Drosophila melanogaster: one gene and its partner. Changing the gene in region 1 together with any one later gene gives a genetic interaction. Each region holds a gene or a part of one and is shown in the gene's direction. Other genes may lie near its edges. The genes, in order: tadr and Galphaq.

Region 1 (15,307 bases):
AGTCAGCATTTTGTATTGGTATTTGGTATTGTAAAAGTACCATTACCATATAAGTATAATAGACACACAGACATCGAATATACAAGATTATAACATTTTGTTATTTGATATTATATTTTCAGAAATATAACTATTCAATTTGTAAAAGTTCGTTCTCAAGGCAATTAATGAAAATATTTTGCTTCCTCAAATAATTTTAAGTGCTTGCTTGCTGCCACAACTTGACGTTTTTTCACGATTATGTACGATGGTCAGCCAGACAGTATCTTTTCTGTTTCTTGTCACGAGTACACATTACACCCGCCCAGTAACCCAATTTTCAGGCTGACACACACACTGGCAGCGTAAATCAGTCGAGTGCACAAGGCCGCATGCGGGTTATGAACCTGCAACCGGCCCGGTCTCTAAGCCAACAATTGCGACTTGCGGCTTGCACGGCTTGCGAAGAGGCGATCTAAGGCAACGGCAACCCATCCAGTAGTAAGATATTGTGTTTAGCTATTTGCCTTTTGGGGGGCCGCAAACACTTTCGGTTTCAATTGCGTTTGCGTTTGCGTTTGCAACGCACACACAAGACCCAACGAATGCCCGCGAAATTGCGGTGGCTGTTGTTGTTACCACCAAATACAATACAATGCGATATGTGTGTGGATGGATGTGTGGGTCTTGCGGCTAGCTAATAAAAACAGGCTCTCCAAGTGGCCAGCACCGCCACCACGGGCCGGCAAAATGCAAAAGTTGAACTAGGTCAACAAGCCAAACGCTGCGGCGCAGTTGACAGCGACTTCGGCAGCGCGCAGTAACTCAGCTGAATTGACTCTCATTACATGCGCCGGCACTCGGAGAAATATGCCCCTATTTGGTCGGAAGACCTTTTTATTCTTATTAACTAAAACTGTCTGGAACTAACATTAAAAATGATACTTCCATTCCAAATATATGAAACATTTAAAATGTTGTTGTGAAGCATTTTGATGATAAAGTTTGGTATCATGTCACAGTTTATCAAACGAATTCCAAAAAAATATACATCACAGAAACTATATTAACAAAATTTAAAGTAAATTTATAACTGTGTAACAGAGCCCACATAAGTTCTCCTCCCATCAAACATTCAACTTGTAGGTGGAACTTCCAGCGCAAGTTTGTTGCCCAAGTCTTTTGTTAAATGCATGCCAGCAATGCATTGACATAAATCGGGCTAATAATAATCCATGGGTATCCACCCAGTAACCGATTGTTAATTCAATCACAACAACCGGCGTGTAATTTGCACATCTGCCAACTATCGTTGACAAGCAAGTCAAGCGGATAGCGTTTAGAATCATCATTTAAGAGTTTACCAAATCCGTGAATTAACATGCAAATTCATTTGACTTTCTGAGTCGCTGGTTTTGCATTCGGCATGCTAATGTCAACAGTTTCGAATCGTCTCTATTTTTATGGCCCTCTCCCAGCAGCTGAGGAATACCGATGGAAGTGGCTATTGTGCCACACATATATCCCGATCATATCTCACTAACCCCTGGCTACAAAAAGGTTTTTTTTTTACCTTTTTTGCGGTAAAGTGAAAATATAATTACCGCAAACCAAGGCTTGCGTAATAAAATTGAAATTGCTTTTATTGTCTTTTATTTTTGGTTATTTAAAAACCACTTAGCGTGTCAGAGTGTTAGTTTGAGCCCGATACGGGTCTGGGCCCAATTTTCAAATTTCCAGCGGTCTTTGGCGCCTATGAACTGATTCATTGACTCTATTGGCCTAATATTTGTGGTTGTAGTTCTCAGAGTTTGTACTCTCACTCAACTGTGTAAATCAATTAGATATGTGACCAATCACGCATTTAAAATTCGGATTATTGTTATTTCAGCTAGGTTTTTAATAATTATAGTTGCTGGCAACGCAAATCCAAGCACATTGAACGCTTCTTTTTGTTTAAGTTCAGTTAATGGGCAATTTCTATTTTTCAAATATCGAATTTGAGTAATAAATATTTTTGATCAACCGTCTAGCTCATGTTCATATTGTCCGAGGCTAGTTTATGGCCTTGATTTAACATGGACATGATAACTCAATTCCTAACTGGTTCCGGCCATCCAATCCCCTTCCCGATGGCATCTCGAATGCCAAATTCGCAAGTCAAAATAAATTATCGTTCACAGTCTGCTTTACATCATCTCGGGCAGTCCCTAAATCACCAGAACCCCTCCCTCGGGTCCACAGATACGATCTGAAAACTCGTCTGCGCTGGATCTTAATGCCTTAAATCTCTTTCACGGTTCCAATTAAACGGCACACGTGCTGCCATCGGCAATGCCCATTACCTTTGGCCATATATCACACACATCACATCCTTTCCGCTGCTAATTAAATAAGTTAATCGCTGGCGCTCGTTGTTTTTGCCAGCCATGCGATCGCCAGACTTTCAATTCTCTGTTATATTCTCCCAAAAACTTTGACACATTTGGCCAAGTGGCGAAGGTAAAAGGCGTTTACTAAATCGCACAATGCTGCTAATCAAGCAAAGGCAACGCGAAGGTAAATTATTCTTCGAGCAGAGGAAGCAAATAAGTCTCAACCGTTTTTTTATTAAACTGTTTTAAACAAAAGTGAGAAGGTCTCGGGCATGCAGCACTTCGAGCGACAATACGGTCTTTCATTTGATCGCTCAAAAATTAGGAACCTTTTGTTTATGGGTATTTTTTATTTGCTGATAATTAAAGCTGAAGCAAATTTTAGATTTGCTTAATTAAATCAAAACGCCTGGAAGGTCAAAGGCAGCTTTTTATTGAATTCTCCGTTTATAGAGCTGTGAATCTTTTTGAATTTTAACTTTGGAGTTACATTCACCTTAATAAAATCGTTTCTTCATTTATATTGACAATATTTGACTAAGTAAACTTTTGAGACTTGCCTGCAGGATGTATCCAATGCAGCAGATTATGAACCAGGCCACGTCCGCAAAGGCATCCCAGGTATTCCACAGGACTTGACGCCAGCCATCGGCAGCGGGAGCGACTGGCTCCGTTTTTTGATGGACCACTCCATTGGCATTGGGGTGGGCGTGTCCGTTGGCCAGGATTTGCGCATCCTCGGCGGACAGCTCGTTGTTGTTTTTCTCCATTTTTGCACAGACTGTCACTGGATTTGCTCGATTCGAATTTGATCTGTTTAGATTTCGGGTAATTAAGTTAATCACACTTCGCTAAGACACAGGTTTTCGTTTTAATTAGCTTTCGATTTATGTAATTTCGCGTAGTTTTTGCCCGTTAATTTAAATGCAGACGAAACACAACGGCGAGCAGCAGACGCGATATATTAATTTGGGTTTGTTTTTTAGTTTGTTTCTTTGCTTATTCCGTATATAGTTTTGGATCTGGGGACTTTGCCTGATTTTGTCGGATTTTTCCGCACTGCACGTCCGCTCTCGTGAGCGTAGCAAACGAATTTGAACGTTGTGGGCTCGAAAGGAATGAATTTCGACTTCTTATTTTGGCGCGCTATTGGATATATAGCCGGCGTCGACGTCGACTGCGCTGCTTACCGCTCGCCGCTCGGCCGAAGTCGCGCTTGTGACGTCATCGAGCTTGAGCCGCAGCTTCGGCTGGGATTATAGTTGTTAATATTTTTCTTATTTTTGTTTTGCTCGCGGCTCGGTTCTTATGCTGCTTTCGGCTGCGCTTCGCTTTAGGCTATTTATTTCCCAGTTTGCTTTGTGTAATTATTTAAAATAATCAAGACTTATGCTTCTACGTATTTTTCATAAATTTATCACGCGGCGCAATAGAGGGTCGGCGTGAACATGGCTAATTAGCGTTATGAAACACGAAAGATAAATTACATCGCTTGGGTGATGCATTTTCGTATTATTTCTTAAAAGTTTAGTTAGAGTGAGTATACCTTCGGGGCCCTTTCATTACGCATATTTGTTATAAGAACTGAGTAAATGTGCATTAGCACCTTAAATCACCTTAACACCTCCCACGTGGCTCATTAATTTAGTAAAATGACCTACGTTTACTAATTGCTAATTTGAATTTATTTGTTTGCATATTGCTTGCAATAAAGGAGCTGTATGCATGTGTGCATATGACTTATTTTGATTCGAAATAGCAAAATGTGAAATTCGGAATTATTGGACGAGAAAGTGGCTTACAAATTTAGACATTATTTTAAATAGGTAATTGTACAAAAAATACACGCATTTTATGTATAAGTAATAATAATTTTGAACTCTTATGTAAGTTTTGCAATAACTCATCATCAAGCCCGACTTTAACTTCTTATACTGCCGTTACTTTCCCCTCAAAACCAACATATGTTATTGTACTTTATTTGTGCCTCGGATGAAAGTCGACTGCCCGTAAATTTGGTTAAATGCACTTATGGCCAACTTATATCCTCTTTCCTTCTTGTCGACATCGCAATGCACCTCGGCTCTCTTTCCTTCTCATTCCTTGTATTCCTTTACCCTTCTTTTGCGCACACATACTCGCACAAAGCCACCAAGTTCGAGAGTTGGTCTCTTGCTTTTTTCTCATTAAAAACTGGTTATGTTAATCGCATGAAATGGTGTATGGCTGGCCGTTCTTAAAGATTTCGTCACATCTTCGGATTGCATAATAGGCAAATTTTTGTTATTTGACTTGATATCGTTTGTTTTGTATACGTGCGTTTTTTAGACTTCGATTTGCATTTTGAGCAAGAAGTCATGCGGGTCAAGAAACTGATAAAAATGTTTAAGGCCACTTGCGGAATTATGTGAGCACTTTTGGGCACAAAAATAAAAAAAAAATTCTTTCACTTTCTATGCTTATATTAAACATACTTAACTCCACTTATTCACCGCTGGGTGTTATTACCTGCAAATACACATGTGCGTACATATATAATATAATATTGTAATTTAACTTTCCGGTCAACCGGCACGCACTTAATCGATTAATTCCCAACAAATGCAAATTTATGTACTGGAACTGCCAGCATTCTTTTTGTGTCCGGCTAATTTTGTTTCGTCCGTATATTTATATTTTTCGACTGCTTTTCGCGACGATTTTTGACACTTGGGACGCAGGCGCAGTGAGAGAAAAAATGCGGATGAAAGGGGCTGGAGGGAATGTTGAAAAGGGCGCGAACTCAGCTGTTCCTTTGGGCTTCTGAGGTTTCAGTGGTTGTTTTCTGAAGAGAGGGATTCAGTCACGACTTGGTAATCAGAGTTGCCAGGTGGCTTCAACAAATACAGTCGTTAGTATTTAAAATGAACAAACCTATAACGAGTATCTACGACGTACTCAGCAAGTGTGAGTGCGAATGGAAAATTTCATAATTTTTCTGGAATATCGATAAATATTGGGGAATAAAACGAGAAAAAATTTAAAAATTGTTCAAAAGTGTGGGCGGAACCGATTAGAGAGTTAGAGTGGGCGTGGCAAACAGTTTTTTTGACAAATCGATAAAAATTTAATGACTTATTAAATTAGGAAAAAATATCCAAAAGTTTTTCAAAAATGTGTTCGTACACATTTGATCCTGATCAAGAATATTAATATTTTATATACCTTTCAACGAATCTAGTACTCGTAGAGTAAGAGTATCGGGTATAATAAGCATTAGGCGTTAACAGGAACTGAGAATGAAATTTGACATTTTTAATCAGTTATATTAGCCATAAAACAGATGTCCAATCATTTCTCCGGTAGCCAAACTCCGCATAAACCCAGTTTAATCAGTGCTATTCAACAACACTACGCCACCAAAATAAAATATTTCCCTTTTCTTAATCGCTTCACCACAATTTATTTCTTGCCAATTTCCGCCATAATTAAACCCAAAACAACAATTTTCCATTTGTTCTGTGCCATCAAAAGCGAGCAGGTCTGCGCGCATGTTTTCAACTTTTTCGAGAATTCAACCTCGTGCCCTGTTGACCGAAAGTGAAATATAAGCTGCACTCTGGCCAAATACGAGTCCGTGTCCAAGCTTAAAACACGCAGATTGTGTTGGCCAAAAGAACCCCGTGATAGAGGCAGACAATCGCAAATGAATCAACAGGTAGCCTTCGCAAAAAACCCGTTAGAACCAGCACAAAGGTGAGTCTTGAAAGCCAAGCGCCAATCTGAACGTTAACCTATTTTACTTCCTATCAGAATTCTGGTTTTAGCATCTGACTTCCGGTTAGTGTTTCGTAATGACCGAAAACGAACGTTTTGTTTTGTGCCATGTGTTATCCGATGACTTGGACATTATGCTGTTCACATTTCCTGTGCCGGCGATGATGGCCCATTTGGCTAGAACAGCCTAAACCTCGCTTATTATTATTAATTATGATTTATCTGACTACAATAAGGAGCTTGATAATTATTGGCCAAAAATCATATAGCGTCATGGTCATCGATTGGCTACCGTAAACAATTTTTTGTGAGTCTTGGGAATCTCATATGTGTGGTGCTAATTGCGCTTCGCCTTCTGAAGTATTTTATATTTCTTGGTTATTTGCAAATTTGAAATGCTTGAGGGGATTCTCGTTAAGAATATCGGGCTTTTTTAGTTCCCGCGAATTGCGTTGCAGAGCTTGTAGAATTTTGTAGATTTGGGGACCCAACAATACCGGTTCTATTGTTTGTGAAACTAATTTTCATCTGATTCGTTAAAGTATATTAAATATATATATATATAGAGTTAATTACAAAAAAAAAAATTACAGTTACAAAATTACATTCGTTTTCAGCTGTAGCTTATACACTATTTGCAAATAGCTAACACTATTTAATTAACAAGCTTATATTATTATTCTCAGCTTATATATTCTTACTAGAATAGTCAAGTGAGTCATAAGAATTAACATATTAAATACTATACGTCAAAAATAACATGCGTTTAAACTGTTTTTCGGAATTTTAATGTCGATTTCACATAAAATTTTAACATATGGGAAAACAAATCTCGATGAGTCTGTTAACCATTGATCTGCCACAGCAAATCATAATTGTTTCGTCCAATAAAGTGCTATTTGTAAACCTGACCAACAACTTCCGACTTCATAGAGCCACATTCCCAAAGAAAAAAGACAAATGAAACCGAAATGACATTGAATTTTGATTATATTGTCTCTGTCTTTGATTTCAATTAACATAAATGCTCTAAAGTCTTATCGTGAACGTCCGTCATGCCTGAAACCTATGTAAGATGTTGTAAGAAAATCGATGGTATGGTATTGATTTAATATAGTAACAAATGTACGAAGTAAGACAGACAGTAAGACCCAATCAAAGTATAGTAGGCGGCTTGAAACACTCATAAATTTCGCCTAAACTTTATTTTTAAACCGGACAAGGTAGCCTTTGCCAAAAATAGAAGAAACTTTATTTTTACTTGAATTAGTAAATAAATCACAAGTAAAAAGGTCAAACATCCGACCAATTATGACCAACGTCGGTTAAAGTTGGTCAGAAGGTCGATCCGTGGAGTCGTTGATTTGACGAGAGCAACCTCTAAAAAACTCCAGAGATACTTTGCTGAAGTGCACACGTTCGAATTAAACGGCTTGGTATAAGTTGAGATAGTTTGCATTTTATTGTTTTGGTTTTTATGACCGCTGTCTGCCGTTTGATTGTCCACAGAAAACCCGTTTCGTTCTAGACAAATTCAGAGATTGCTGCTAAAGCCAGCTCCACTAGTTATGTTTTTCACCGAAAATAGAACACTCTCGATAGGATAGGATTCTACCTTCTACCACAAGGTCTCCAATCGGGCTTGAAGCCGTCTTAACTGTTTATTTTAGCGGCTTCTCGCATTTGTTTGTTTCAAATTTTAGCACAACTTGCGGGAGTCATTTGCACAAGTCAAGGTCGCCTTCTCAGATAAATGCCAGATCTAACAACTTTGAATATAATATTCTTTAGGTTCCATTCGGCTCGTTAAAAAGAAGGTAGGAATTATTATTTAAAGATGGAAAATTTTACTTCGTAACGAAAATATAATAAAAGAATGGTAGCTTAAGATACCTGATTGATTTGTTTTTACATTTTAAAAGTAACCCGTCAATACACATTTGAATGCACTTTAACTAATGAACGCAAGAGCAAAATACTTATAGGTGTAAAAATAATATTTAACGTGCTAAACATTTGAAATGTGGCTTTCATTTGTTAAACGTTGTTGTTTGTCATACCTATGTGATTATGGTGTACTTCCTTAATTTCGTTTTTATTCCTAATCTAAACTAGTAATCTTGATGATATTTATATTACGTGACCTTAAATTCTGTATGTTCGTATTAGGTTTTTGTTGCCGGAATGAAAAAAGTACACATACTTCACCTTAAGATTTAAATTGAGGAGTGTGATTTTTCAAATCACTTGCAGTATTGTTATTCCGAGAATACTTTGTTTTATTAAAACTGTACATTTAAATGTGTTGGATTTATGGGAGAAGTCAAAAAAAATAATTATAAAAAGTCGTCTAGACAGTAGAATTCAAAGAAATATAACCAGATTTTCTAGCTTCGCCGAGTTGCAAAAGATATTCTAATATTAGCTTAGGCGCCATGTTTATCAATACTAAGTAGGTATACGATTTATTAGCTTTAGTTTGAGTGTTCCTTATATATAAATTTCTTATTGAGGAAATCAGTATATTTATAGACGGAGCTGCAGTAAATTCAAAAATAAAGTACATTAGCTATGCAAAACGATTGCACTTGTGCAACTCTTTCGAGTACCAAATGCAGAGACCCTCCGCATTTTCCACCCCACCCAACCCACTTTCCCATTTCCCATTTCCCATTTTCTCACCAAAGAGCAGAAGGCAGGCCAACCAACTGTAAACGTAAACAACGTCCACTGCGCAGGACAGTATTGAATTGAATCCGAATCTTTATCCGATTCCGAATCCGGTGGACAGCTGTGCGTCGGAATCGGGCGAAAGCTGTTTGGGCGGCGGAGGAAAAGCTTCAAGTGAACATTCAGTGGATTGCGGCCAATTTAAGCGAGCGGTTACGCGTTACCTGTGCACTTCCCCCATATTTTACCAGGTTACGTGTCAAGAGCAGAAGTTACCTCTCAAGCGTGTTGGCTAATTAAGGGCTAAAGCTCAAGTGCTGAAGTGTTGGAGTATCTAATATAAATTTTAATAAAAGATCACTACAAAATGGCAGTCATTGTTGGCCAAGTTCTGCCACAAGATGAGCAGCAAATCACATTTTGAACCTGGCCGATTGCTAGCTGAGTGAAAACCACAGTAACCTTTGCTACAACAACGACAATGTCGAGTGGCAGGTAGGATTCTCTAGCCCATATCCATTCATACAATAAATACATTTGGCCTATACTCGACAGCCATTTCGACCATATCTGGCAGTTGTTATGGCTGATATTTGTCATGTAATCAATAAATTGATTTTTGATTGGCATGTGTGTGGGTATTCTTCCTCGTTCTTGGTCTCCTCGTTTTAGTTTTTCTGTTGTCTTCTGACTGGTATTTGCTTTCCTTTCGTTCTTCCTCTGGCGGCGTCGCACTGACTGGCTTTTTCGCTGCGATTTACCTTGGCCCATTCAAGTGCCCGACCACTGTGCGTATACTTGATATATTCAAGCTGTGCATGAATTCTAATTCTATGAAGATACGGAGACAAACAGAGACACAAGGACATAGGAAAAAAATCTTGTTTATTTAGTTATGTATTCAAATATCATTCTTGGGAGCTCAACAAGTTCGATACGAACGGATAATTTTACATATACAAGAAACAACTATAAACAAACCTAAGTGTACCGCAAAGTGTACCTTGACTGTTTTAAAGCATCTCATTCTCTAAGCTGGGTCAAAGATTCGTTCGGAAAATGTGGAAAATTAGATTCACGAAAAAGTGTCCCCCACTATTATTTCACTCCCAGCTTAGCAAGGCCAAAGCTAGAAACCTGATAGCCCGCCAGCAGCTGGCCATGTAATTAGGATAATCGAGCTGCTTAAAATATGCACACAGAGTACACATAATTACAAGCAGCAGAAAATTGGCCTGGGAAAGGGAGGAAAATAGAAGCTTCAATACCAATGGCGTAAGGGGATATCCCCAAAAAACAGGCTATGACTCATGGCATCCGAGAGGAGGCAAAGCCACCAGAGCCTCAGAGCAAACAGGCGCGATCTCCTTTCACCACTCTTTCCCTGTTTGTTCTTGCACTGCAACCACATATAATTGAAAATTGCTTGATGAAATGTTTATTTAAATGTTGACTGGGAAAATATGTTTATTAATTTCCCATTAAAATTAAAATAGATAAAAATGATTTAAAAAAATATATATTTTTCTTACCTTCCTTATGAAAGAATTTTTTGTGCTGTAATCCCTCCCAATGTCAGTTTGGCGCCAAAAACTGTGCTTGTAAGCGTGGTTGTGGTTACTTAAAGTTGTATGGATTTCCGTTCGTGTTTCTGTGGGTGTCTAACCACAGAAGTCATATCCCGTCAAAGGTGACTGAGTCCTTAGTTCCACTCCGTCATGTAGGCAAATGCACCTTCGCAAGTAAAATCAGTCGAAAAAGTTAAGTCAAACCATACTCATTTTTGCCAGTATATTGAAGCCAATGGTATTATTATGGGCTTTGCGAACTTTGATCTAAAAATAATGTTTTGCGCATGATTAATCCCTTCAATTAAAAGTAAGTGTGCAATTAAGTCTTCATAAATGCTCAGATAAAGTTCCGAGTAAAAATGTCATTAAAAGACTTCCAAAACCATTTAGTATTCTGACCGCATATATATTTAATTATACACATCTTTTCGCTACGATTCTTAAGCCAACATAAAAGTATAAGGAAATGAGCAGTCTAATTTGCACAATTTTGTATTCATTACGCCAGTTCCTCGCAGGCAATTTAATTTAACTTGCCCCCGTGCGTCCTTTGAATTATCCTTGCAGCCTGCTGGACGTGCTCTGCAGCGGCAGTGGCGCCCGTTTGGCCCTCGGAGCCTCGGTAATCTCCTATCTGATTGTCTACAACGAGGCTTCCGCTCCCAGCCTGCTGGTTGGCGTTGTCTTGGCCACCGTTTATGGCGCAATGGCAGGTGGGAGTTAGGTGGAATACTTGTAAATATTCCAAAGTAAGTTAATTCTTTGTTCCAGCCCGCTGTAAAACTAGCCTCCGCAGCCTGCAAATGCCGTATGTGCGGGCCACAAATAAATTCGACTTTAGCTGTTTGTTTCTGGCCATCTGGCTAGATGCTCTGGCCACCGTGTGTGCCTGCGCTGCCCTGGCGAGGACCCTCAGTGCCTGCTTGGACGCCATGACCGGAGGTCTGGCCAGGATTCTCATATTGGGTGAGTGGTAACAGATGCTTGTAAATAAAGTAGCACAATACATTGGTTCAAGGAATAACAAAACCATTAGAAATACGAGATACGACCTAATTAGCAAACTATTATACATACATACTTATAAGTAAAGCCACTTCTTCGAAAATAATTAAGTACCATATGGTGCTCTAAGAAACAAACAGAACTGTAATTATTAAATATATATTAATTTCGTTTTTGTCATAAAATAATAAACTTGATGTATATTATCATATCGCATATATTTTGTTATGTATGCGTAATATTTTGGCGTGAACTGTGCTGGCCGACCTGTTCAAATATTATGTTGCCTACTTTCAGGCCGCAATGCACCCGCGAATGAGCCGTGGCCGGATGTTCTTGGCGTGTCGGTTGTCTTCCTCGTCACTGGGATGTTCATGCTGGGCCTGGAGGTGGGTACTCCTCCGAATCCGAAGCCGAGTTTAAATCCAAATCCACCCACTTATCGCGACACTCACTGCATTTGCGTATTCACAGCACTCGAGGGCCTTCAGCCTCATCCTGACTCTTGGCATGTTTGGCTTGAACGCCATTTTAAGCGCCGTCGGCTGGTGGCGGGGCGACATGTTGGCCTGGTCTGCGGATAGCTACTTCCAGCCCGATGGCATTAGCAGTGTAAGTGGCCGTAGACGTTAGACCCCATACCAACTGGAACTTCGATAGTGGGTCAGTGCACTGTGCCAGTCTGAGCTTTGTTTTTTTTTTTTTTGTTTGCCAAGTCCCATCGATTTTCGCTGTCGTGACCGGGAACATTTGCGTGACCGCAGCTGAATCCACAGGATACGGGCTTTTGATTATGACACGTACTGCTGCGTTTCGTTTTTGTTTTTTTTTGGCCTCCTTTCACTGGTATTCGTTCGCGGAAAGCCGCCAGTCAGACAGCAAAAACATGGAAAATTTTTTGGCGCTTAGTTTGCCGGAGTTGGTAATACTTAGAGTATTCGTAATAAAAGAGCTTTGATTTAAATACAGCATAATGTATTACTTTTTAAGTTATTCAGTCCAGTAATTTAAAAATTTGTAGTGCCTTTTATAGACCAAAAAAATCATAGAGAAATCAAAAAATTTCATAGAGAAGTCAATTTATACACTAGCAACCAGCATTGGTGGGGAAAGTCTGCTGCTATTTGCAAAATTATCCGTCTGATAACTAGTTCAAACCACCACACTCAGGTCTTCCTGGGTACTGCCCTGCTCACCTACTCCTTCCCCGGCGATTGGCCCCAACAACTTCGAGGTGGACGATTCACGGCGACTCTAATTACGGGATTGGTCAGTACTTCGCTGCTGCTGACGGCCATTTGTCTGTCGACGGTGGTGCATTATAGGTGAGTCTGACAATGCGATAATAATGGAAAAAGACATATTGTACAACTGTTATCGGCTACTGTACAAATGTTTTGTGAACTTGTACTAGAGATATCCTTAATGATGATGTATATTTAAACCAATAGCGTGGCTTGACATACATACATACATTTTATGTGTTCTTTCAGATCTCAGGAGGACTATGTAGCCGTGCCCTTGTTCAACATTCTGGATGAAAACGGCTTCCATAAGTTGGTTCCTGCCTCGGCTTGCATGTTGCTTTTGACGAGTTCGGCGGCATTTCTGGAGCTCTTTCCGGAACTATATGGTATTGTTGTGCGACTGGCCACCTCGGAGTGGAGAATACTGTCCAAGCAGATCAGTTATGAGAGCTCGGAGAGTGGTAACCCCGTGCTGGCTGTGTTCATCGCCGGCAGCATGTGTGCCATGTTGGCCTTCGCCTGTCCACTACAGCATCTCAGTTACACATTAGCCGCTGGCCACATGGGTGGGGTATTCCTGAGGGCCCTTTACCTCCTATACATCCCTTACAGACCCAAATATATGGCGCCCAGCAGCGAGTCTTCACTGTCGTACAGTCGCCTATCCACAGCACCGTTTGCCAAGAGCAGCAGCTACAGCAGTGCCGCAACTTCCAGTTCGAGTCGCTTAAAGAGAAGTCTCTGGAAGATCGGTCTGCCCAAGCACAGTAACTTAAAAAAGCCGAAGACCAAGCCCAGGAACAAACAAGAGCTGGAAAAGGAGTGGCTGCTCCTGGGTGAACCCACCTCGCCCTGTCCTCAACGAGAGGGCAGGGATGTGGAGTCCACCATTCTTTCCGATGGCGAGCCACCGGTAAGTGATTTCTGTGCTTAATTAAGTTTATTAAGGGTAAATGTCAATTAAAAATATATATTCTGACATTTTGCATGAAGCCATCTGACTTTGAGTACCCAGATAAATTTGACAAAAGTGACTCGGACACCTCCACCGACATTGATGCCATTGTGGATGAGTATCGTGAAAAGATTAAGGTAAGAACTCTCCATGAATACACGTAAATATAGACACTACATGTAATCATCCTCCAACTCTCCAGGTAACCACCGCCGGACCTTTGGAGCGCAGTGTGCGAGTGCCTACGGTGAGTTCCTGGCGCGTGACCATTTTCGCCATTGTGGTGATTGGATTGGGCATTGCCCTATGCATTGCCGGGCTCATGATGCACTGGGCTCCGGCAGCGTTGACCGGAGGGATTGGGGTTCTTATCGTGACCATTATGATGGGTTTTATACCCAAATACACGGGCAGTGTGATCAACGTGAGTCCCGTGATCTGTGGAATGTCGCTGCTGATGGGCGTGATCCTATTCAGTGGCTGTGCTATACATTCCTGGCCGGGATTGCTTATCTGGCTGATGGCTGGACTCATTCTGGTGATCAGATGCGATAAATACTGTTGCAATTGTTTTGAGCACACCACCATAATGAATGCCCAGCTGATACCTAGTGTCTCGGGAAAGAGCAACATGGGGTCAGCGTCGGGATCGGCATCAAATTTAGCGGGTCCCTCCACCAGCATCCGGATACCCAGACCGCCCAAGGGAATGGGCGTAGTCGGCTTGCCACAGCGCATCAACGAGCACAGATGACAGTCGGAGTCCTCGGAGGAGGAAGGCGAAGACCTGTTCCACGAGGACTTCAATGTGCGCGACTTTGACGAGGAGGATGACGAAGATTGCTGGACTGATTAGCTTGCGCCTTTTAAAATCCGTTTAGAAAACTATTTAATTGCTATGCGGATCCCCAGGACGATCCAGCTTCGAGCCACATATGCCTGAAATTTTCTAGCTAGCTAAATTGATTGTCGAAATTTACTTATGTATTTACAAATATATAGCTAGGCGACTCTCTGTACAACTAAGTTCAGAATAAATTAAATTTTTCAAAACGAAAATGTATAATCAATCGTTACATCATTTTACATTGTAAGAGTTTCGTAGCTGCATAGAATGTTATCTGCCATCTAAATATATAAATTCTCATTCTCCATGAGGTAATCCACCAGTTCCCTGATAGGCGTCATAATGGTCTCCTCGTAACCAGGTTGAATCTCGATTACCCTGAGTAATAACTCACTCCGATCGCAGTTGAGGTAATAGTCAAACTTCTCCGGTTCTTCGGATCGTTATCTATTTGAAATACTGGGTGACATTTTTGTCTGAGGTTCGGTGAGAGCCCAAATAACAAGGGCTGCCAATCGAGTTCTTTGGCACTCTTTTCTAAAGTTATTTTCTGTTATGAGATTCTTGTCCAAACCCAGACGATCCAGGTGATGCTGTAGATTCTTATAATAGTGCTCGAGACACTCATCATAAATCGCCCTTCTGACTTCAGCGGAGGCTACAATATAGAGTAGGAATAAAACATCTAAGGTGGGAGAACAATACTGGGTGAGTTGAAAATCTACAATGCAGCAGGCATTAGGTAATACTGAAGATTCCTTGTTGAAATAGTACACAATATTATGATCCCAAGTGTCTCGATGACAGAGTACATTTCTTATAGTCTTTGAGGGGGCGACCAGTTCTTCAGCCTTGGTTAGAAGATTGTAGAGCTTATCTTGAATAAAGTTCTGAGCTTTCAT
Region 2 (15,377 bases), on another chromosome or scaffold:
TTTCAATGTTAATGGGATTGTCTGTCCTCATTTCCATAAAATTCCATCAATTTAAGTAAGCTAAACTTGTTAGATTCTATCATTTGCAAGGGTATAACTTCGGAATCCGGAGATACACATTCCTTTGAGCTTTGCACGCGCTAGTTTCCCCCTCCGCGCCAAATGCAGATCTCAGCACTTCCTGTCTATATTGAGTTCAGTTCTTTATTGCCAATTTACAGGAGGAAGGCTGGCTGATGGGTCAGAAGGAGGGCACCAACGAGAAGGGACTCTTCCCCGCCAACTTCACGCGTCCCATCTGAAGCGACAAACTGGGGAACAACTGGGCTAGCAACGAACCATCAGCAACTTCAGATCAACCATAAAAATCTTTACGAACGGAGGTCCAAATCCAAATACAAACTTTTGGCCAAATTTTCTTTGTGAGCGCTGCTTTTGCTTTTGTCCAATTAATAAATTCTTGTTTTGTGAAATGTATTCGGTAACTGGCAATCCATTTATAGCGATTGTTCGTTAGGGCAGTGCTTCCAACCATAAAATTGTTATTGTTAACACAAAGAAGAACGAACACACAGATGAGGAATGAGAGAGAGAATATTTTGAAAATGTTTCAAACATTATTTTTTAGTTCTAAGTTTCAAGAAAACCTAAAGCATAAACCTACGTATACATATATTATTTGTTAATCCTATTATTGTGCTCATAATTAATGCGAACAAAACGTATCTAATTTGTAATTTGTTAATGGCAAACCACAAATGTAAAACATATCACTCGAGAGCTAGAGTAATTGTTAAACAAATCAAAAGTCGGAGGAGATAGCCAGCCTGAACCTTTTGTATTTTGTGAATTTTGCAAATATGTAGTACGAGTTTTTTATAGTCAATTGAATGTATTTTTGGGGCGATGCAAAAAGGCCAGATGTAATTCCTCTGTGGTCCCCGAAGTTTTGGAAATTGTTTCAAGTAACAACATTAACGTTTAGCGATTACGTGTATCTTTAATTTGTACTTTGGTTTTTAATTTTTCGTTTGAGAGACTCGAACTAGCTACAGCTTTATAACGCGAACACAATCCAATAGTCACTAACCGATCGATTCGATGTTTTTATTTTATTTAACTCGATTGTAAATCACACGAAACCCGAAATAATTGTTTAAATTGTGCACACACTGTAAAGTTATTATTTTAATTTTATTTAATTAATTTAAACACTTATTTATCGCATGAACATATTGAACAAATGATAATAATTTACAGAAAGCCAATAAAACATAGATTAAATAATACAAGTCTTTTGATTTGGCGGGCAATGTCTTCTGATTTCGAAGATAGAAAGTGCTTGTAAATTTGACGATTGACCGGCGTTTTACGATATTCGCATTTTTTATGTTCTAAATGGTAATTATACACACATATATTTAGTTATTTAAAATTTACGATCATAGTCATTGGTTCGGGTCACAGCTTAACGAATATGGAAGTGCATGGTAAGTGTATTCCCTGTTGTTAGAGAGTGAAAAGGACACAACATTTTCAGTCTTTCCTAAAGCTATCAGGCATTGCCATCCTGAATTATGAGAATATGGCGCACTGCCATCCTTATTTTTAAGGATGTCTGGCGTTGCCATCCTTATTTGAAGGATGTAAGGCGTTGCCAACCTTATTGCTAAGAATGTGTATTGACACACATGAATAGAAATCCGTATGGCAACACCGACATGTGTTGTGGTGGGGGTGGCAACTAAAAAATACCAAAAGTAATATATTTTCAAATTAAGCTGAACTGCCAGGAAATCCGTTTTTATTTGTTATAAACCACTTCTATTAGTTATTATGCGGCAAATAAAACTCCTTCCTTATGTAATACAATGAAGACTTTGATTTAAGAGCATCTATTCCATCATCGATATCTTGCCACCACTAGTTCAAATGCCGTCCGATTGGTTTGACCATCGATATCGACGAACGATAGGGCCGATAGGTTCGGACAAATAACGCCTCCTGCTATCGAAAGTCGGGTCGTGCGTCAACGTTAGCGAAAAATGCAAAATTAAATATGTTGTGAGTAGCGAGCGATGCCAAATCGAATATGTTGTGAGTTTCGAGCAAGATCCCCGTCAAACGGACTCCCCGCCAGCCAGCGGTCGCCATCCGCAGCCGCCTGGCAGCCACCCGAAAAAGTCCCCCCCTCGACAAAAAAAAAATTTAGCAGCACCGAAAACGTTCCCCGAAATGCCAGTGTAAAGTGTATTTTTTCGCCAAACAGTGCTGGCCATTAAGCAAGGCCCCCCCATAATTGTTAAACAAACGGCGAATCGAATCGCGAAATCTTCGAATCGCATTGCTATCAAAATTTTTTCGTTTCGTTAACGCCCTCGCTTATATTTGTGTGTATTCGTTCGTAAAGCAGTGCGCAGCAAGTCGCACTGCTTGCCCGAGAAAAACACTGCGAATAGGAAAAAAGTTGAGAAATTTAAAAAAGAAATAGTTTGTTTAACTCAATGTGGTTTTCTTTTGCCACTAAACGGTGCATGCCAGCGAGAAGTTAGTTGGGGTCGCGTAACTACATAGTGGATTGTGCATATTTTTGGGCTTAAAACGGGTGGGCTAACCAAAAAATGAAAAAAAAAATGGTAGCTGAGGGTCGTGTGTGTTTACCTTAGCCAGTATGATGATGATTTTCCGGAATGCATATTCCCACCTTACCACCCATAATACCACCCCCCCCCCCCATCGTTCTTCTCCTTATCTCTCTGTCTCTCTTCTTTACTTGCAGTTCCACTGCATACAGAAAAATAAACAAATACAAGAAGCATAAAATATGCAGAAAATTAAATACAAAAGGAGCCACTAAGTGTTTCGTGTGAAATCAATTTGAAGACCGCTCGTCGTCGTCGTTGTCGTCGTACATACTTTTCCGTTTCAATTACACTACAATGAATATTTGTTGAAACTTCGTTGCATTTACAGACTGGTGTTTAAAAACAACAACAACAAGAAGAAACGTTAAAAACCAAGAACAACAACAACAACAGCACTCATACACACCGAAAACTAGAAGCAAAAAGGGAAAATTATATATAGATATATATCTACATATATAAATAGTATCGTATCACACATTTACATTAAAAGGAAGCCGAACAGACGTTATCGTAACTTTTATATTAAAAAGCACCAGTAAAAAATATATAACCAACTACACACGTTCCTTAAAAACAAATGTTTTCCAAACCGCAAACCAACTAAAAACGAAATGCTTTTGAAATTAGTTTAAGCTAACTAAAAAACGTAAGACCAACCAACGCACCGCAAAGCAAATCGCGTGATTAAACTAAAAATATTTAAAACAGACCGAACATCGGCAGGGAACCAAAAACAAAAATTAAAAGAACACGATCAATCCGGAAGAACTTCAATCGGCGTACTAAAACCCGAAATTCAATATTTTTTGTATAACATAGTGGTAGCTAAAACAAATCGAGACGATAACCGGAACATCTTTTTGGAGAATCTCGTCTGAATACCTTTAGTCCCGTGTCTCCGTAATGTTAAGTAAGTAATACTGAATGCTCATTGAATACAAGAATCGTAATTTCGTGGTTAATTTTTGACTCCGACCACTTGTTGGTTGCCACTAAAAACTGGCCGAAATATATTATAATCCAAAAATCGAATTATTCTCCAGGCGAGTTTAATGGATTGTCATCCATCTTATTCAAATCCATTCGAATATATTTATTTTGTGTAAAAGCCATGCTTTCATCATAATGAAAGGGTACTTTTGTATCTAAAATATGAGCTCATAAATTCTCCAGCAAAAATAGGCTGAGGATGCGATAAGGAACTGCATGAGTAACGTGAAGCTATTTCCGGCTTAGAAATGGTTTTTCGGAAATGGGTTGCATTAGAACAGTGATTTTCAGAAGAGCAGTAGTCGTCTAAAGATTAAGAAGTCAAATCAAACGTTATCTCAGAGTGGTTTATCATCAGCATATACAATATGTAAGGCAGATAAGACCAGTTCGCGGTAGGTAAATCTCCCTCTGATTTGGTGGCATGATATATCTGGCAAACTATTGTTAAAAAACGCTTCATTGCGCCAATTGCGTGCCCCTGCCCCTGAATTTTGCTGCCACTGCTAATTCGATTTTGTGGCTTTGCTCAGCGAGCAATGTGTTCCGAGTGCAGCCCACTAATCCTCCCGAATACTATGCGTCTAGCCATCATTATCCAGATCTCCATATTCGCCCACCTGAGCCCGCCAAATTCTCCTGGTCAGACTTTTGTCAAAATTATTGCTAGGTATTCCATCGATATTTGGTAGTGGTCATGCTGAAAGCCTTACCTCGACCCATGTCAATGTGTTCGCCAAACGAAATTGGATTAGCCATCACTCGATATATAAACTAGGGGTTGGAAAAGAGAGGAAATAGCACCAGTGGTTATAGGCTATATTCTATAGGCATGCCCTATGCTGAACCCATGAATGAACCGCGGATTCGGGTGGACTCATATCTTTTAACGATAAAAGTACATTAAGAGTTTTAAAGTTTATGCAATGATATTCCAGTTTTGTGTATAGAGCTGTGTTTTTGCATCATAAGTTTCGGTATGTGACTTTTTTATTTCCGAATTAGAATGATATGCCAATTCTTCTTATCCATAGACTGCTTGGTCCACCCAATAGGAGAACACTCTCGCTAACTTGTGGCCAGCGAAGCCATATATTTTCCAAAATCAGCTTTCTTGCATTGAACTTGGCTGAGGGGCATTGTGGGGAACGCTTCCTCAATCTATTGCCACCTGGTAGAGGGCGATCCCAGGTCTGCGCAGAGAGAGCAGGCCCAGAACTTAGAACCAAAGCCAATGCCATGGTCAGAGGAAGTCCCGGGGTAGTCATGGGTAGCCATGGGCAATCTATATCCGACGTCGTCATCGACGTCGCCAGCTAGTGGGGCAGGCTAGCAAATATGAAATGTTAATTGTCAGCACGGGACACAACGCGGCGAACTCTCGTTGGGCCAACAACTGTGGTGGTCCGTAGCAGCAATAGTTGGATAGATCCTACAGTTCGGTTATGCAAGCACTAAATCAAAGCTTTGTCTCCTTGCAGATGTTCTTGGATCGTTCGATGTGGTCTTTGTTCATTAGTAACCATCACTCTCAGCCTCCGAGTCACCGAAATCTGGTCAAGAACTTAGCGTAGACCCGTAATTAGCAATAGCAATAGCCAAAGAGAGCCTGGATCGTAAGCGCTGGAGGAGGTCTGCAGAGCGAGCAAAGCCGAAGTACAAATGCACCAATCGAAACTACAACAGAATCTATAACTTGGAACGGGTGAATTCAACGCCCGCCATACAACCAATTAGCTAGGTGTCCGAGGGTCCAGAGAAGGGAGTCCAGGAGACCATCCCACCATCCAAACAGCATACATTTTATATACGGAACGGTCTGTCGAGCGTAGTGGCAGCAGCACGCGAAAGCGTCTATAAATCTAGTTAGCATGGAGTGCTGTTTATCGGAGGAGGCCAAGGAACAAAAGCGCATCAATCAGGAAATCGAGAAGCAGTTGCGCCGGGACAAGAGAGATGCGCGCCGCGAGCTTAAACTGCTACTACTGGGTAAGTGGAGCATGGCCCATTTCGATTGCACTTAGCCTGGCTTAATGCAATTGAAGCCGCCTCGCTAATTGCATTGTTTGCCCGCCGCTTATGGCTATATATATTTTCCAATCCTATATCCCCAGGCACTGGCGAGTCCGGGAAGTCCACATTCATCAAACAGATGCGTATTATCCACGGCAGCGGTTACTCGGACGAGGACAAGCGTGGGTACATCAAGCTGGTTTTTCAGAACATATTCATGGCCATGCAGTCAATGATCAAGGCCATGGATATGCTGAAGATTTCCTACGGCCAGGGAGAGCATAGTGTAAGTGAAACATTGATCTAATTGAAGTCACTGAATCTTAAACAACATCTTACGATCCACAGGAACTGGCCGATCTGGTGATGAGCATCGATTATGAGACCGTTACCACGTTCGAGGATCCATACTTGAATGCCATCAAAACGCTTTGGGACGATGCTGGCATCCAGGAGTGCTATGATCGTCGTAGGGAATATCAGCTGACTGATTCAGCCAAATAGTAAGTTAACCGTTGGCATGCAAAGGGAACGGTTTAAATCCGTCCGCAAAATGACCGAAAAACGAACTGAAGAGACTGAAACTACCGAAACGACTATGCAAACTAAATCAATTATCTTGTCTATGTATAGTTATCTGAAGGATCTCGATCGTGTGGCTCAACCTGCATATTTACCCACTGAGCAAGACATTTTAAGAGTTCGTGTGCCCACAACAGGGATAATTGAGTATCCCTTTGATTTAGAAGAAATCAGATTTAGGTACATACCATCTTTCTACCCTTACTTCGTTGCATGTGCATGACCTCTTGTTTGGTTATGGTTAAAATTTATTTTGTACTTTGTAACTACACACTTAAGAATTTCTTTAGCGCATGTCTCTTCAAGCAAACAATTCAGGGACTTAGTTAGGGCCTTCAGCGAAATTGATGGACTGAGACGGGTTGCAAAACTATTTTTGCCACTGCTTTTGGTTCCGTTCATTGTTTTAAAAGTGTATTAATTTATCTAATTTAGCTACTTGAGCGATCTAGCTCGAATTGAACAGGCTGATTACTTGCCAACCGAGCAGGATATTCTGCGTGCTCGAGTGCCGACAACTGGCATTCTTGAGTATCCATTCGATTTGGATGGCATTGTGTTTAGGTATCTATTAAAAATATCAATTGGTAATTACCGGCAAGGCTAGTAATGTAAATGGTCATTGTAAAGCTAGTGAAGACGATTTCTTACAATTTAGTTACTAATAGATTCGTTGCTTGCGCTCTAGAATTAAATGCTTGTATGTTTGGCCTTATATGTAGTTAATTTGTTGGTTAACTTTTCTTACAATAATATATTTTTCTTAATAAACAGAATGGTAGACGTCGGTGGTCAGCGATCCGAGAGAAGAAAGTGGATTCATTGCTTTGAGAATGTGACATCAATTATATTTTTGGTAGCGCTATCGGAGTACGATCAAATCTTGTTTGAATCTGATAATGAGGTATGATTTCAAGTTATGAATATATTTTTTTTAAACAAATAATCACCTGTACGCTTTCACAGAATCGAATGGAGGAATCTAAAGCTTTATTTCGTACTATAATTACATACCCTTGGTTTCAAAATTCGTCAGTTATTCTTTTCCTGAATAAGAAGGACTTGTTGGAAGAGAAAATAATGTATTCGCATTTGGTAGACTATTTTCCTGAATACGATGGTAAGTGTTCCGCATGATAAAGGTGGCCATAATTATGTACGATTTTATGCGGCAATGAACCAGGTCCAAAACAGGATCACGCTGCGGCCAAACAGTTCGTTCTGAAAAAGTACTTGGCCTGCAATCCAGATCCCGAACGTCAATGCTATTCGCATTTCACAACGGCCACAGGTGGATTTTCACCTTATGTACTTAAGATCTATGTAATTGCCTTAAATCGCCAATATCATCCGTAGATTATTTGCTAGTTTTCGTAGAACCACGCTAGACGTAACTTCATATTCGCCTTCTTATCGAAACAGGTCCTCAGCGAGATGCAATAACGGCCCGAGAGTTTATACTGCGAATGTTTGTAGATTTAAATCCAGATTCCGAAAAAATTATCTATTCTCATTTCACGTGTGCTACAGGTAAGTTTGCTGCCAGTTCTGTGTTTGGTCAGAAATTGTGTGTGGATGTGATTTTAGTTTTCAGCCTAAAAAGGACTGGTCAAAAGGTAAACTTTTGTGTGAAAAACATTTACATTTGCATATTTGCTTTTGCCGCTGATCTAGAGTAGAGAGTAGTTGTGTATCGCTAGTCAAATTTGCAAACCTAAACGAATTGATTTCTAATAAAACAACGATCTCTTGGTAAACAGATACCGAAAACATCAAACTTGTGTTCTGCGCTGTCAAAGATACAATTATGCAAAATGCACTTAAGGAATTCAATTTGGGCTAAGGCGGGCAGTGCGGATATCAGGAAAAGTGGCAATGCAAATGAATTATTTATTTATAATGTATATGATTTGTTTTTCAAAGTCCCTCAATAAAAACTAAATATAGTCTGTGAAATATCGTGAATGGAAAATGTGTGCAGTTTACTATCATAGGATTATTTGACAAAATCAAACTAACTACGCCTTCTTTTCTTTTGTCTAGATACGGAAAATATAAGGTTTGTGTTTGCAGCTGTTAAGGACACAATTCTGCAATCGAACCTTAAGGAATATAATTTGGTCTAAACTGGATTTGGATCGAAAAACTATTTTTGTGATTTTTATACAAACACACATACACATTCATATAATTCCTTTTTCGCATATTTACTAAATATAAAAGAAGAATTGAGAAGCGAGCGAATGTGGCCGAAAATTAGGCATAAATTAGACCCGAGAAAGTTTCTTACGTTTGTTACATCAGGAACCGAAAATTGTAGCATAAATAGAATACTAAACTGAGATGCTAAAACCGCATCAGCAGAATGATGAAAAAGATGTATACATTTTAATTTGAGAGAAAAATAACACAAAATCTGATACAGTGTGACAACAAATAATCAGGGCAGAGTTTCTCTTACGAATGTGACGATTCGTAAAACATTTATTTATATTGCAGTACTTCTATTCTTTCTAGCGGCAAAGTTTTCAGAAAACGTTGTGTGAATTTTTTTTTTTTGTTTCGACTAGGAAAACTCTTGAAAGTCAAAAAGACAGTGGCCAGAAATGATTGGTACCCAATCGATAGAGTTTTTGGTTAGATTTGAATAAATCTGATGGTAGTTTTTCCTTCCTACACAAGAAACATGATTTCCTTGAAAAGTTTTTATACAAAATATCGTCCGAATTAGTTGTTGTCACTCTGTAATATTTAAATAAATTTATTACTATAGTAACTTTTGTAATAAAATCCGAAACACAAAATATGAAACGTAAATTTAATCAAAAGCTTGATAAGGAACAACAAACTGAAACAACTTTGTCGTACTGAAGCATAACATAATAAAGCAACATTTTACTAAATAACTACAGAAAAACAAAAACATACTTTTGCGTAAAAATCCCCCGAAATATATATATATTCAAAGAATTATATATGCAAGAAGTTTCTTATTAGAATTTCAGGGCATATAGGCGTGTAAAAATAATAAACCGAAAATGATAAGCTGATAAAATGATAAAATGAATGAAAACGAAATCACAGATAATACTGTATTTTTTATTAAGCTAAACAGTAAACCGTAAATATTGATACTATTGTTTACCGAAATATTTAACTATACATGAAAGCAGATATAATAATTCATAAACGCATATGTAACAATTTAAAAATTGATTAATTTGCATTGCGCGAGCTCCATTCATTGTAAATTACGATTCGTATTAATACCATGAGAATGAAAAGAAAAGAAATGAAACGCATGCAAACCAATACAAAAACGATATAGGAGCTAGATTTGTATGAGAAAAGCCAGAAACATTTACATGGAGCATTCATTAAATACGTGTTTGTAAAAAATGTCGATAACCACCCATGCAACATGCAACATGCAACAGCAGAATCCATACAACTTATTGATATTTAATCAGACATCAGGTTAAATCCAATCAAATGCGATATACCACTGGTCGAGAAACACAACTATCAGAAGGGAAAGTTTTGCTCTCACGTACTTTTGTTGCCATCAAAATTTCAGTCGAAACATTGTTATCAAAAATAGCTTGATTTTCGTACTTTTTACATTAACTTTGTTAGTTGTTTGCTTATTTTATAGATCTTAATGTATGCAACAAGGGACTCGCTTTGGCGGCTAGCCAAAACGGCGATGTCTGGCCAAGTGGGTTCAGTGTTTTGTTTTTGTTTTTATAATTTTAGTTTAATTTAATATACAAGGATAACTAAATGAGACGCACATAAATAGAAAACCCCATCAACAAATTATTTATGTAAAAATCCAAATAAAAACAATTCTACTCTACGCATATGTGGAAACAAAAAATAAATAAAATGGAAAACAATTGAAACGTACATGTATGTAAAATAAATATGATGCAAAATGTTTTTCATAATTTATAGTACACTTATTTTGTTCAACCGAGCGAGATTCCCTCAACCCACATCCCCATCATTTGGCGTTTAGTTCCCTCGGGGCCACAGAGGAGTAGACACTTTGCCACGACTCCAAGCGGAAGACACTACTCATGGGAGTGGAGAATTGAGATATTCCTATGACCGCGAATAACCAAAAACCAAGACGCATCTTAGTTTAAGTACGATTCAACAGTGTGTTGTATAAAGCTTTAATCCTCGTAACCACATATAGTGAAAGTAAAAGTAAAGTAAAAATTAAACCATTTTTATGATTAACCAATGGATTAGCTTTTAAAAAGCTTCAATAAGTCAATGTGTATTTTAAAAGATGTAGCCGAGAACACAATGAGAAAAAAAAGCCAATGAGTTTTGAGGGCCCGTTCGGTATGGATATGGAATCGGTTTAGGTTCTTGCGAATATGCGAATACAAAAATTCACAGCTGGCATCCAATTTGGTAGCTCCGATTTTGGCCTGGCCCATTTTTTATATCCACGGCATTATAGACATTCACACACTGACATACATATATATAGTTTTCCGTCCAATGAATTGCATCAGCATCAGCGAGCAGACAAAGTCTCCCATTTATTTTGATCCTTAACATTTGCGATTTGTTTCTTCCGAAAATTCCATCCTTTAAAACAAGAGTTTTTCGGCGGTTTCAATGATAAAATGTTCCGACTTTGCAGCCACACATACGCACACTTTAAATTGATCGATTTCGATATGATTTCCCTAACATTTTGTGCCTTTCCAGCATAATGAATCCCCATATTTTATATATAGGACAGACTCCAAATGGGTACTCCAAACTTGATTTATTTTTTTTTTTTGTACCACTAATGGAGCCTGTTAAAAGCCCCGAGACATTCAGATTATCAGCATGTGTGTATGGCCAGATTGTTGTGCTTTGGGTTGATAGATTGGTTCCTTAATTTTATGATACGCACCGATAGTCAGACAGTTGTATGTAAATATTTGGCAAATTACTCGCGAGGGCATTCAAAAGGCCTCCCGAGAGATATACCACATAATCGAGCATGTGTATGTAAGTGTACATTAAACGCAAAATGAACTATAATAAAATGAGAATTTGATATAAACCATTAATGTATGTATTTTGTATTTTTATATACAATTTATAATTTTGATTACACTTACAATTGTTACGATTAATAACTAAAATTACATGATAAAACCAAAGTAACGCAGATGAATCTACTAGATATGTATTTCCAATATAGAGAAGCCGAGTACATAATACACAAATCCGACGATTGCTAAAGGAATTTCAGAATATTGTAAGGAATTAAGATTTAAAAAAAAAGAAATTTTCTAAGCAACAAACTCAAACAGAACTGCAAGCAAAAGGGACAACAATTTAAATGGGAAATTTATGTAATTGTGTAAATCTAGAGCGGAATGAAAGCGAAGGATGCAATTTGATCCTTCGGGCCGGATACTCGATAAGTATGGCCACGATTTTCAGATACTTGAAAACCATTTAGGCATGGCATTCGGTGGCTAGTTTTTACTTTAACTATGTATGTAAATGAAAGAATGACCACATTCCACATAAGAAAGCTTGAAAAGCAAAAAAAAATGAAAAAAAAAAATTCTTAAAAAAGAATCCCGAATGAAAATCGCCCTTGACGTTGAGGAAAACTACATTATCGATAATAGGAATGGCTAGACGAAGTTTTCGGTTTTGAAATAAAACCCTCTATAAACTCAGCATCGGGATAAGCAGTAAGAAATGTTAGTTGTGAGTTCGGGCGTCATTAGGGAGAAATAGTAATATTCGACTCTAGTTTCTCCATTGCACACCTAAGCATATACATACATACGTGTAAATCGGAAGCTAATGAAACATCCACTGAAACTGCATGCTTAGCCTAGGATTAAGGCAATCCCACACAGACCGATTGCCCCGATTTGGAGACAGAGACAGTCCAACATGTCCATGGGCCGACTATTGATAACTGTAGCATTTGAATTGAATTGATTGAATTGATATTGGACGTACGGGGTTTTCCTGGGTGTCTATACATTTGTCATACAAATCATATTGACGGAGCAAACGGCGATTGTATGCGTGGCAATTGTAACTAAACAAATTTTTTAGATAATTAAAAGTATCTATGTACACCTTAATATTAATGAAAAAACCAATATAATATAAATAAAAGTATATTGAAAAGACCTCATAAGTGTTTTGATATTGCGACTACGATATGCTATTCTCTACCTCTTGGAAAACGCATTTCGAATATATCAGAGTTCGATACATAATCAATATTTTAGTTTTAGAATTTTGTAACTGACTAAACAGTAGAGCTGTGTGGTGGATTGAATTATATAATGGATATGCGCTCACTGGGAATTGGGAGTTCTAGAAATCCTCAGGGATGTTTTTAACGATATTTCTCTGGGTGTTTTGATGTGTTTTATCACGAGGTCATTAAACATTTTTAGGGCACGGGAATTCAATTTTTTAATTTTGGAAATCCAAATCAGTTTTCGGCCATTCTCGATGGCTTACGGACGTGTTTTTGAGCGTTGCATAGAAGAAAAAGTGTGGTTTTAAGGACACTAAAAAGAAAAGTAAACGATACGAAAAACCACATCTTAGCCAATGAATAACTACGGAAACTTATCAGAAGAGCACAAAAAAAGATACATTCTCATTTAGATACTGATCAAAAATTAATTTAAAGATTTAAAGATGAATATGCACTGCTGTTCATCGACCGAGGCAATGGAAAAAAGGCGTATCAATGAGGAAATTGACAAACAGTTGCGCCTTGAGAAAAAAAGATCTAAACGGGAACTCAAACTACTGCTATTGGGTACGTGGAGTGGGATGTATTGGGATGTATCAAGGATACAATGTGCGTATATCCACAGGCGCATGCGAGTCCGGGAAGTCCACATTCATCAAACAGATGCGTATTATCCACGGCAGCGGTTACTCGGACGAGGACAAGCGTGGATACATCAAGCTGGTTTTTCAGAACATATTCATGGCCATGCAGTCAATGATCAAGGCCATGGATATGCTGAAGATTTCCTACGGTCAGGGAGAGCATAGTGTAAGTGAAACATTGATCTAATTGAAGTCACTGAATCTTAAACAACATCTTACGATCCACAGGAACTGGCCGATCTGGTGATGAGCATCGATTACGAGACCGTTACCACGTTCGAGGATCCATACTTGAATGCCATCAAAACGCTTTGGCACGATGCTGGCATCCAGGAGTGCTATGATCGTCGTAGGGAATATCAGCTGACTGATTCCACTGAATAGTGAGTTGGGACACCAGGAGCGATACCCAAAATTGCTTTTTTCTCATTTTCTTATTTCAGTTTTTTGGGTGACATAGGTCGAATTGAACAGGCTGATTACTTGCCAACTAATCAGGACATTCTGCGTGCTCGAGAGCCTACATTTAATATTACCGTTTATCCTTTTGAGTTGGATGGCTATGTACTTAGGTATATATTAAATTTTTAGGGGCAGTTTTATTAATTTTATTGTATTAACAAATTTCTCGTTTATAAACAGCATGGTGGATGTAGCAGGACAGCGAACTGAGAGAAGAAAATGGATTCACTTTTTTTCGAATGTAACATCGATTATATTTTTGGCAGCACTGTCGGAATATGATCAGTTCATGATGGAATCCGAAAACGATGTATAACTTGAAGGCATTTTATTAATTATTCGCCAACAATAATAAAATCCGATTATTGCAGAATCGACTGGAGGAATCAAAGGCTCTATTTCATACTATCATAACCTTTGAATGGTTTAAAAATGCTTCAATCATTCTGTTTCTTAACAAGATGGACGTGTTAGAGGAGAAAATAATGTATTCGCATTTGGTAGACTATTTTCCAGAATACGATGGTAGGCGTTAAAAGTTATATGGATTTACACACAAATTTTGATCAATATATTTAATACTTAATTCTTTACAAAACAGGTCCAAAACAAGATGCATATGCGGCCAGGGAATACGTGCTACGTATGTTTCAAAGCATTAGTTTAGATACATATAAAAAGATATATTCTCATTTTACGTGTGCTACAGGTAAGTGTATTGTCTTGATTTATTTGGCTTAAAATGCATTTGTTCTGTTCTTATATTGGGAGATTATGTATTTTGCTCGTTTGAAAAAACAATGTAAATGCAGTAACGTACAGCCTAACAAAAAGCTAAATAATACGTTACAAATCCCATCTAATTAAGTTATTTATTTCATTTTTAGATACGGAGAACATTAAGTTTGTGTTCGCTGCAGTTAAGGATACAATTTTGCAATGCAACCTAAAAGAAAGTAATCTGTTTTAATATGGGTGTGGATCCCCAACTTTTATGTGGTCTCCCCATGTAGATAATAAAAATAAATTTTGCTCTTACTTTGTTATAAGCACACATATTCAATGTTTATACATTCTCTTTACCTCTATCGATTAAGAAATTATTTGCATGTCTTATAAATTTAGTTTTTAATATGGTTTTAGGCGTTTACAGTTTGGTATTCGTGGATTAATAAAAACCAGTTCATCTTATAAGAGCCGCGCATTGTTGGGCTCTTAGAAATAATTATTTGTGTTTTTATTGCCATTACAAATTAACTTAATCTACATTAAAAGAGTGAACTAAGTGTAAGGTAATGGGAAGAGATAAACAAATTCTCTTAAAAATCGCTCTTAGTGACTTGAGTAGGGCGAATTAAGTAAGCTCAGTTCTCAACAATTTTATCGTGCGGGTGAAAATGTAAATTCGCCCAGCGCCGCCCAATTAGTCTTAGAAAAACTCTCAAGACAGAATATACAAATTTTGCAAAAATTCTGTTTAGTCCACGTTTCGGAAGTTTAAAATTTTATATATAACCTACAGAACAGGAATAAAAAATAAAAAAATTAAGTAAACCCGTAAAATTGGTGAAACAAATTTAAAATCTACAAAAAAGTTAGAAATTAATAATAGTGCTTTCATGTGACTAAATTTCAATAAATCGTTTCATCACTTCAAAAGCGAACCTAAAAAGCACGAAAAAAAACGACCAAAAAACGATGAAATAAATGTAAAATTGTATCTAAAAAATAAAAAGAAAATATTTTGTAAGCACGTGAGTCAGTTATAAAATAACGTGTTAT

Evidence for each region.
Region 2: of tadr (region 1) and Galphaq, changing one suppresses a phenotype caused by changing the other (phenotypic suppression), as found in Drosophila melanogaster (one study listed by BioGRID).

What each region holds. Positions count from the first base shown.
Region 1 is NT_033779.5:21,066,441-21,081,747, forward strand, and holds tadr (torn and diminished rhabdomeres), read left to right. Parts: upstream 1-8,964; 5' UTR 8,965-9,261; coding exon 9,262-9,275; intron 9,276-10,918; coding exon 10,919-11,064; intron 11,065-11,122; coding exon 11,123-11,317; intron 11,318-11,653; coding exon 11,654-11,745; intron 11,746-11,830; coding exon 11,831-11,968; intron 11,969-12,526; coding exon 12,527-12,681; intron 12,682-12,849; coding exon 12,850-13,516; intron 13,517-13,596; coding exon 13,597-13,695; intron 13,696-13,760; coding exon 13,761-14,312; coding exon of another isoform or gene 14,313-14,414; 3' UTR 14,415-14,613; downstream 14,614-15,307. Other genes in the region: CG9265 (uncharacterized protein), read right to left, coding at 2,915-3,124.
Region 2 is NT_033778.4:12,610,788-12,626,164, forward strand, and holds Galphaq (G protein alpha subunit q), read left to right. Parts: upstream 1-1,952; 5' UTR 1,953-2,059; coding exon of another isoform or gene 2,060-2,064; exon of another isoform or gene 2,065-2,092; coding exon of another isoform or gene 2,093-2,097; intron 2,098-2,779; coding exon of another isoform or gene 2,780-2,870; exon of another isoform or gene 2,871-3,558; intron 3,559-4,999; exon of another isoform or gene 5,000-5,042; intron 5,043-5,119; 5' UTR 5,120-5,509; coding exon 5,510-5,627; intron 5,628-5,752; coding exon 5,753-5,937; intron 5,938-5,999; coding exon 6,000-6,154; intron 6,155-6,284; coding exon 6,285-6,413; intron 6,414-6,668; coding exon 6,669-6,797; intron 6,798-7,007; coding exon 7,008-7,137; intron 7,138-7,199; coding exon 7,200-7,353; intron 7,354-7,416; coding exon of another isoform or gene 7,417-7,524; intron 7,525-7,655; coding exon 7,656-7,763; intron 7,764-7,993; coding exon 7,994-8,076; 3' UTR 8,077-8,196; downstream 8,197-15,377. Other genes in the region: Amph (amphiphysin), read left to right, coding at 222-302; CG45086 (uncharacterized protein), read left to right, coding at 2,060-2,064, 2,780-2,870; CG30054 (uncharacterized protein), read left to right, coding at 12,939-13,056, 13,115-13,299, 13,362-13,516, 13,577-13,705, 13,776-13,905, 13,967-14,120, 14,197-14,304, 14,483-14,565.